Xenopus tropicalis: one gene and its partner. The protein of the gene in region 2 interacts with the protein of the main gene of each other region in a biochemical or structural test. Links are inferred from orthologs where the notes say so. Each region holds a gene or a part of one and is shown on either strand. Other genes may lie near its edges. The genes, in order: lnpep and tnks2.

What was found.
Region 1: the proteins of tnks2 (region 2) and lnpep form a complex in vitro, tested with the Homo sapiens proteins (4 studies listed by BioGRID and IntAct, with this or other methods). The link is inferred for Xenopus tropicalis from reciprocal best matches to the Homo sapiens genes TNKS2 and LNPEP.

What each region holds. Positions count from the first base shown.
Region 1 is NC_030677.2:176,658,925-176,662,755, forward strand, and holds part of lnpep (leucyl-cystinyl aminopeptidase), read right to left. Parts: intron 925-3,831; coding exon 786-924; intron 1-785. UniProt on the Homo sapiens protein: Release of an N-terminal amino acid, cleaves before cysteine, leucine as well as other amino acids. Degrades peptide hormones such as oxytocin, vasopressin and angiotensin III, and plays a role in maintaining homeostasis during pregnancy.
Region 2 is NC_030683.2:37,237,999-37,241,739, reverse strand, and holds part of tnks2 (tankyrase-2), read right to left. Parts: intron 3,732-3,741; coding exon 3,622-3,731; intron 3,535-3,621; coding exon 3,346-3,534; intron 2,793-3,345; coding exon 2,540-2,792; intron 2,032-2,539; coding exon 1,949-2,031; intron 1,461-1,948; coding exon 1,340-1,460; intron 643-1,339; coding exon 545-642; intron 103-544; coding exon 28-102; intron 1-27. UniProt on the Homo sapiens protein: Poly-ADP-ribosyltransferase involved in various processes such as Wnt signaling pathway, telomere length and vesicle trafficking.

The DNA of each region.
Region 1 (3,831 bases), on a different chromosome or scaffold from region 2:
AAGGTAAAATGGCAGTTGCTATCTTAAAGGAGATGGAAAGGCTAAGTCACTTGGGGGTGCTAAAATGTTAAGCACCCCCAAGTGACTTTAATCGCCTACCCTGTACCCCGGGCTGGTGCCCCTGTTAGGAGAAAACAGCACCAGCCTGGGGTACCTGGAGCGAGCACTTCCTCCTTCCGGCTTCGTTTCGCTGCGACTAACACAATAGGCGCATGCGCAGTAGAGTAAAAACCGACTTCTCTGTTAAAGTTCCGCTATTCACTCTACTGCGCATGCACGCACAAGCGATACAGGAAGGAGGAAGCGCTGCAGGTACCCCGGGCTGGTGCTGTTCTCTCTGTACAGGGGCACCAGCCCGGGGTAAAAGGTATGCGATTCAAGTCACTTGGGGGTGCCTAACATTTTGGCACCCCCAAGTGACTTTGCCTTTCCTTCTCCTTTAAACAAACACAGGGAGCTTCTAGATGTTTACTCAGGAGGGGTAAAGCTTTCTGCAGAATAAATATAGTATTCTAGCACTAATGAATAGTATTCTATTGTCAATAAAATGCCATAATGACTTTCCTTTCCCCTTTAATATAACTATACCCCTGTTTGTGTTCACACCATGTAAAGAACTGCAATTGTGAAGCAATATAAATAAATACAATACAGAAGAAAGTTTAGGTTGGTCCAGTTTCTTTAAAGAAGCGGGGGTTGCTATCATTACAGAACTGAATTATAAGTTTAATTGACCAGAAGCGAATACTGAATGGAGTCTGATAATGGATGGATGTAAAGCTTACCTTTGGCATGTTTGAAAGAGAGATCATACTTTGATTTCTTATGATGTTGATCTGGAATGTGGATTTGAAAGCAGGTTCATCAAAGCACGGAAACACTTTTCTTGCTGCAAGTGGCTCAAACTGAGTGGCTGCAAGAGATCTGTGAAAATTGAAAAAGCATCAAACTGAAGATGAGTCCCGGAGACCTTGTTTATTTGGCTATTAGATGGACTTATTTAATATTTATAAAAGCAAAGGCAAGCAGCAGGTCCCTTTGGAAAGCACATTATAAGGTGAAACCAAGGGAGGCATAGTGGAGTTGATTGATTGTTACTACTGTGTAACTGAAACACTATTCCATAAACATACACACTGCTTCAGCATGCCTATGAACGTGTAAAGGCTGGCTGCTTCTCTACTGGAAAAGAAAACTCTGGTTCCATAAATGCAGAAAATTCAGATTCAAAACAAAGAGCTTGAAGAGAGAATCTGAAAATGGCTCATTCATAGGAATAAAACATAACTTAAAAATGCCTGATATGCATTTATGGTACATGTGCTCCTTTACTGTATAAACAAAAAAAGAAAAAACCACAAGGACTTAGTAGGGATTGCACAGTATAGGCAACAATGAATTCCCCAACCAGTGGCTCGTGAGCAACATGTTGCTCACTAACCGCTTGGTTGCCCCCAAACCAGGTAGTTATTTTTGAATTCCTGACTTGGTGGCAAGTTTTGGTTGAATAGAAACAAGATTTACCACCAAATAAGCTGTAAGCTGATAGTGTGCATAGAGGCTACCTAATAGCCAATTTTAGCCCATATTTTTCAAAAATTTCACAATTTTTAAAAAAAAAAAAACATTGCAACTTGGTAGTTAGCATTAGAAATGTTGGATTTGTCAGAACCTGTTCTTTTTCAAATATGTATTGCTGGAGTAAACCTATTGAAAGTTGAATTTTTGGCCTTACAACCTGAAAAATGCAGATTTCTGGATCAGTGCATTGGAAATTTGGTGGTGTAATGCTGGGAGAAGTTTCCATAAAACTGTACATATATTTGGTACTGGTGCGTTCAGGAGATAAAGGACTTTATAAATCAGCTGTAGTTTTGTGCATAAAACAAATTATGTTTATATTATATGTTTATATTAAGGAAAATGATTTTTTTTTTCTTCATTTTTTAGACATTCTGTAACAAGATATAGAATTCTAGCAGTGGAATTACACAAGAATTCTAACATATTTTGAAAGTTTAAGTTGTCCTAAAAAAGCAATACAAGGAGTTTTTCTGTGATTTAATTTGCATATGCAAATGAGGGCACTGATTCAGTTTGGTATTTGGCAAAATCCTTTATGGCGTATTTGTTATTCGGCACTAAATAATGAAAACAAATTTAAATGTGCTTAGAACAGGTTTTATAACATACTAAGCTTTATTATATGGGTGAACATTCCCTTTAATGCATATATGGTAGAACAAAGCGTATTTTTTTCACTTTTACACTGCTGAAGATAAACTAGACTAAAATCTGTCTAATCTCCATGCCTTACAGCTTGTGTTTTTGAATGAATACATTTATTCTTTATTCAGTGGATACAGTTCTCTGCCATGCAACAACAGAGACACTATTCTAAAAACATGTTTAGGCCTTGATGCTCAGAAGCAATGTTCCCACGAATACCTTCTTGGCTGTGTGCGCAAAAAACAATTCTTTTGTGCACTCATTTTAAACTTGTGTGCGCATTTTTAAAAACACTGTGCTCAAATCAGAATAGATATAACATTTAGGGGCTGATTTACTAATCCACGAATCCGAATGGGAAAAATTCGGATTGGAAAACGAACATTTTGCGACTTTTTCGTATTTTTTGCGACTTTTTCGTAGCCGTTACGACTTGCGCGATTTGTCGCGAATTTTTCATAGCATTATGACTTGCGCGAATTGTCGCAACTTTTTCATAGCATTATGACTTTCGTGAATTGTCGAGACTTTTTCATAGCCAATACAAATTTCGTGAATTGTCGCGACTTTTTCATAGCCATTATGACTTTCGCGAATTGTCGCGACTTTTTCGTATTGAGTGCTCGAAAAAGTCGCAAAGTACCGATCATTACGAAAAAAACGCATTCGGACGCTTTTCGGACGTTCATGGATTAGTAAATGTGCCCCTTAGTGTTTTCACACAAAATTCTTTGTGCGCACCACAATTTGTTGTAGATGCTGGTCTCAAAATTTGTGCACGTGCACAAGAATACACCATATAGGAAAATTGTTTGGAAGCTAAATACTTTTTCTTACCCATGTTTTCTGAGATATTAAGCACTCTCTGATCAAGGCCAATAGAAGCCATAGTTGCCATTACTGAAATACTCTGTAAGCTGTAAGATCTTGCATGCAGTGTCTGCTCAATTTTTGGCTTGTTCCTTTCTGTTTATAGGGGTACATGCCCCACATTTCCTACCCTCTGTCAACATGACCAAAATAAACAGATCTTTTAATTCTAAGTTCTGTTATACAGGGTATTTTGTTATTTTTTTTTTTTTTTACTAACTTATTATTTTCTTAAAAAGCTTTAATGCATAATCATAAGGGCTGTGGTTGTCTTGGACTGGTACAGAAGCCCAAAATATAATGTACAACATTTATTTTTATTTTATTTATTTACAAGGCATTTTGTTGTGATTATGTGATTCAGTGTTTTACTGGTGGGGATAGACACTGATTTTCAAATAAAGATATTTTCAGAAATTTTGTTTCCAGTTCTGGAGGAGATTTAGCGCAGGTGACAAAATGCCCATTCTACCATCACATACACCCTAAGGGCGGTGTTGAGCAATTCTATGTTCCACCATATGCAACACATGGGATATAATGGTTTTATTTTTTCCAGTAGGTCTGTACCAACAGGAATGTCATCAAGCCTAATCTGTATTGCATTCATCCTTTATTGGCTGCTATATGTGGTCAGGGATATAGTTATCACAATTAACCTCTTTTATAATAACTTTGTTACATTAGAGGTTCCCAATTTTATGTACAGTGTATTTTTTTAGTGAGGAGGAG
Region 2 (3,741 bases):
CATTCAGTTTATTACCAATACATGTACCTTTAAGATGTTATATTTGGTAAAGACTCCACCTGCATGCCCCCCATCTCTATGTTCCCTGACAGTGCTCTGCATCTAAAAAAATACAATAGATTAATACACACACACAAACTACTTGAAAATTCCAATAGGACGCAATCCAAATACCACCCACTTATCCTGCAACGTGCAATACTTGAGATCTTAATAAAGTACCATAAAATGGAATTTGCACATTGCAGAACATGTTGGGGCCATCTGGAAGGTGTTGAATTAGAGTTATACAGTCCTAAAAGCAGCAGGAATCCAAACTAAAGCACCACCTGTATGTTTATTTAGGTAAATAGAGGAGGTGAGGTAGCTCTTGGAATGTTCTGAGGAAATGATGTCTGAATGTTATTTGAAAAGTTCAGTATTTGCAATTAGAAAAACATTTTTTTTTTATTTATACTCATCTCAAAAGCTTTGAAAGATTTATAATCAAGAAAGTTCCAATATATATGTGTCAAAAGGAAATGGATCTTGTTACACAGTTTACCTCTTCTTCAACTGAAAGAAATTCTTTGTCATCAGGAGCAAGATCAATCAGGATTGTTCCACTGTTAGCTGTATTCAGTGTTAAATAAGGGTTCAAACCTAAATAAAAGTAAAACAACAACAAAGGCAAGGGTTATGTTAGACAATTTTCTAGCAGCTTCCCATGTTTTGTTTTCCGTGGCATTTAACAATGTTATTTATGTTTATATACACAAAGTGATCTATATTCTTATAGTTTGTCCAGTCTGCAAAATATATTACATGTATCCATTAGTCATTCAGTTTCAGAGTAAAATCCATCACCTGAGTATAAGCTAAGTTAAAGAATGCCTCTTGTATACTTATAAAGTCCATTAATGGTTAGTTTCATTGGAATAAAAGTTGTCACTTTCAAGGCATGAACATAAAATGTTTAAATATTTTCTGCAATGTTCTTTACAATTAAAGTGCCCAAATGAGAAGGAAAATTATTCCAATGATACTGAGGGAATGACAAACTGTAACAGAGAAGAGTTGCTACCATTTAAAAAGTCACGTGTGCCAAAATCTACATCTGAAATCAGTTGACCATAGCTACAGTTGTTACTTTACCATAACTTTCCTTGAAGAAATACAACTAACACTTTGCATGTATCACTTACTTTTTAGTACATGATACTACTTTTCAGTAAATGCTTAAAATGTAGGCTCTACTTTTTAATACACAAATGATAGCACAACATTAGTTACAGTGACTGGAAAACTCTACCTTAAATGTATAAAGGATTAATAAGGAATATTAGATCTTTTTAATTACCATGCTGTCCAGAGATGAGTCTCTCTACTCCTTTGATGATCTTGTGTCTGTGTCCATACGCATTTATTCCAATCTCCTTGAATTCCTTATGGCCCATTTCAATTAAAACATCTAATGTGATCTAAAACAACATGAATTCCACAATCCTCATACCAAAGTGCTGCCATGTACAATTGGGTTGGATAAGTCTGGACAGAATACAGTATTTAGAGTTCTGTATTTAAACAAAAAAAGTAATTCTAAGATGCACCAAATCCATAAATGATTATATTTATTTTAAATATTTTTCTTCAGTAATCACAACTTATTGTAAGCTGCCACAGAAATACTGTATGTTTAAATACATATTTTAGCCAAGGAATCAAAGTTGCCAGGCTTCATTTTGCATCAAATGCAGCAGATCCCAGATTTTGCTTGACTGGTGATGGAGATAAGTGTGGGTATTAGTATGCAAACCTGCAGGAAACAAAATGTCTGTGATGCTAGCTGGTTTACTAAAAATATTCTATCACTAAATGCTGCAATCTTCCTGCACAGCAATAACTGATGAGCAGAACATATAACATGAATAAGAACAATTCATTAAATATGACTACATAAAGTACTAACCTGCTCTCGCTCAAAGATATCGATTAAGTGCTCTAGGCCAAGGTTCCGCAAAAATTGATTGATGCTCAACTCTACACCTGGAACTATGGAGAAAATTGTACAGTTAAAGACACGCTTTATTATTCCTTGGTCATCATAAAGACTTCTTACCTTCTTTCTAGTAGGGGTAAATAACCAAAGTACCTGGTGATTTTTTGTTCAAAAGCTTTGGACTATAGTTGATGTATTGGTAAAAGTTCATACTCTGGGCAGATATGGCTTTATATTGCTTTGTTCACTCTGACACCCATCTGCCCTACTGGAGCATAAGTTGCTTTATTTTAATTTTGTCTGTTTTGCGTTTTGAATCAATAAAATGTACCTTTTTAAAAAAAAAAAAAAAAAAATCTTTAAATAGAAGTGATCACCGGCCTACTTTTGAGGAAAAAAAATTGTGCCACAATGTCACTGGTGCCGTCAATAATGACATAATACTGGCAACAAAATGGAGAACATGTAAATGCTGAAGGTACTTTTTATTTGAGATTATAAAGCTGCAGTAAAAGTTCCACAGATAGTTACAAAATGATGACAGCATTAAGCACATCTTACCTTCTTCTTTCTTATCCAATCCAGATGCTCCTTCAGCTCCTCCACTACTAACAGAGGTGGCTTCTGAGAAGCCGGAAGCCAAGTTATCCAGGCTACTTGCAGCAGAGAGAGTTGGTGAACTTGATGGCACAGAAGAAAGGGTTGCCACAGCAGTGGCAGAAGGCTGAGAAACATTTATTAGTTGTGGCTTATAAAATGTTGACAGAGCAGCTGGAGGCATGGCAGCTGTCAGAAGAGCCCGAACATCATCAGCCTGATCACAGAGAAAAGATAATTAGTCACAGTTTAATCCAATTAGGCTTATTATACATGTATATAAAATATTTTTAGCACTGCTAAAGAAACCAAGAATGCCTAAATATTTAGGTTGCTAAAGCAATGTTGAAGAAAAAAAGTCTACACTTTTTTTTTTCCAGCCACAGACCTCAAGCGGAAGAATAAAGCCACATAGGAACAATGCCACTGTACTTCAAAGGTCACACAGATGTCCTTTGTTAACAGGACCAGAAACTTTTATTTTAATTAAGTTAATGTGAAGCAGAGAAAGCAGGAATGGTTGGCTGATACAAAATTCTGCAAGAAACTTCAAGGATATTTTCAATCTACACAGCAACTTGAACGCCAGTTAATGCAGCTAGGCAAAAAATGCAAGCATGCGGTTTATAAATTAGTGCTAATATGCAGCAATTAACAGAAACGGATATATTGCTAAAAGTATTATCAACCGGCGCTGTAAGACTGACAAAATGTTCACAATCATTTTCTAGTTGAAATAAATCTAAATAATAAAATGGCCATCAACTTACTGTTACCAAGTCTAATGGAGCTTGCCCTTCTTGGTTTTTCAAAGTAGGATCTGCCCCATGTGCCAGGAGCAGAGCGCAAAGCTGAGTTCTTCCTTTCTGAGCTGCTTCATGCAAGGGCGTAAAAGCCCATTTGTCAGTGGCATTGACACATGCATTATATTTAATGAGCAAAGCTGCCACGTCCACATGCTGCAAAACAACAATAGCTTTGTGGGTTACTTCTGAATTATCAACAGAAGATTTAGACAAACATATGCCAATAAACAAACTGTTTACCCCATATGATGCTGCATTGTGTAAAGGGATAAGGCCTCCCTTGTCTTGCGCATTTACATCAGCACCATTTTGTAAGAGGTACTCTGCAACTTCCAGGTTATTGTAGCCAGCTGTGAATAA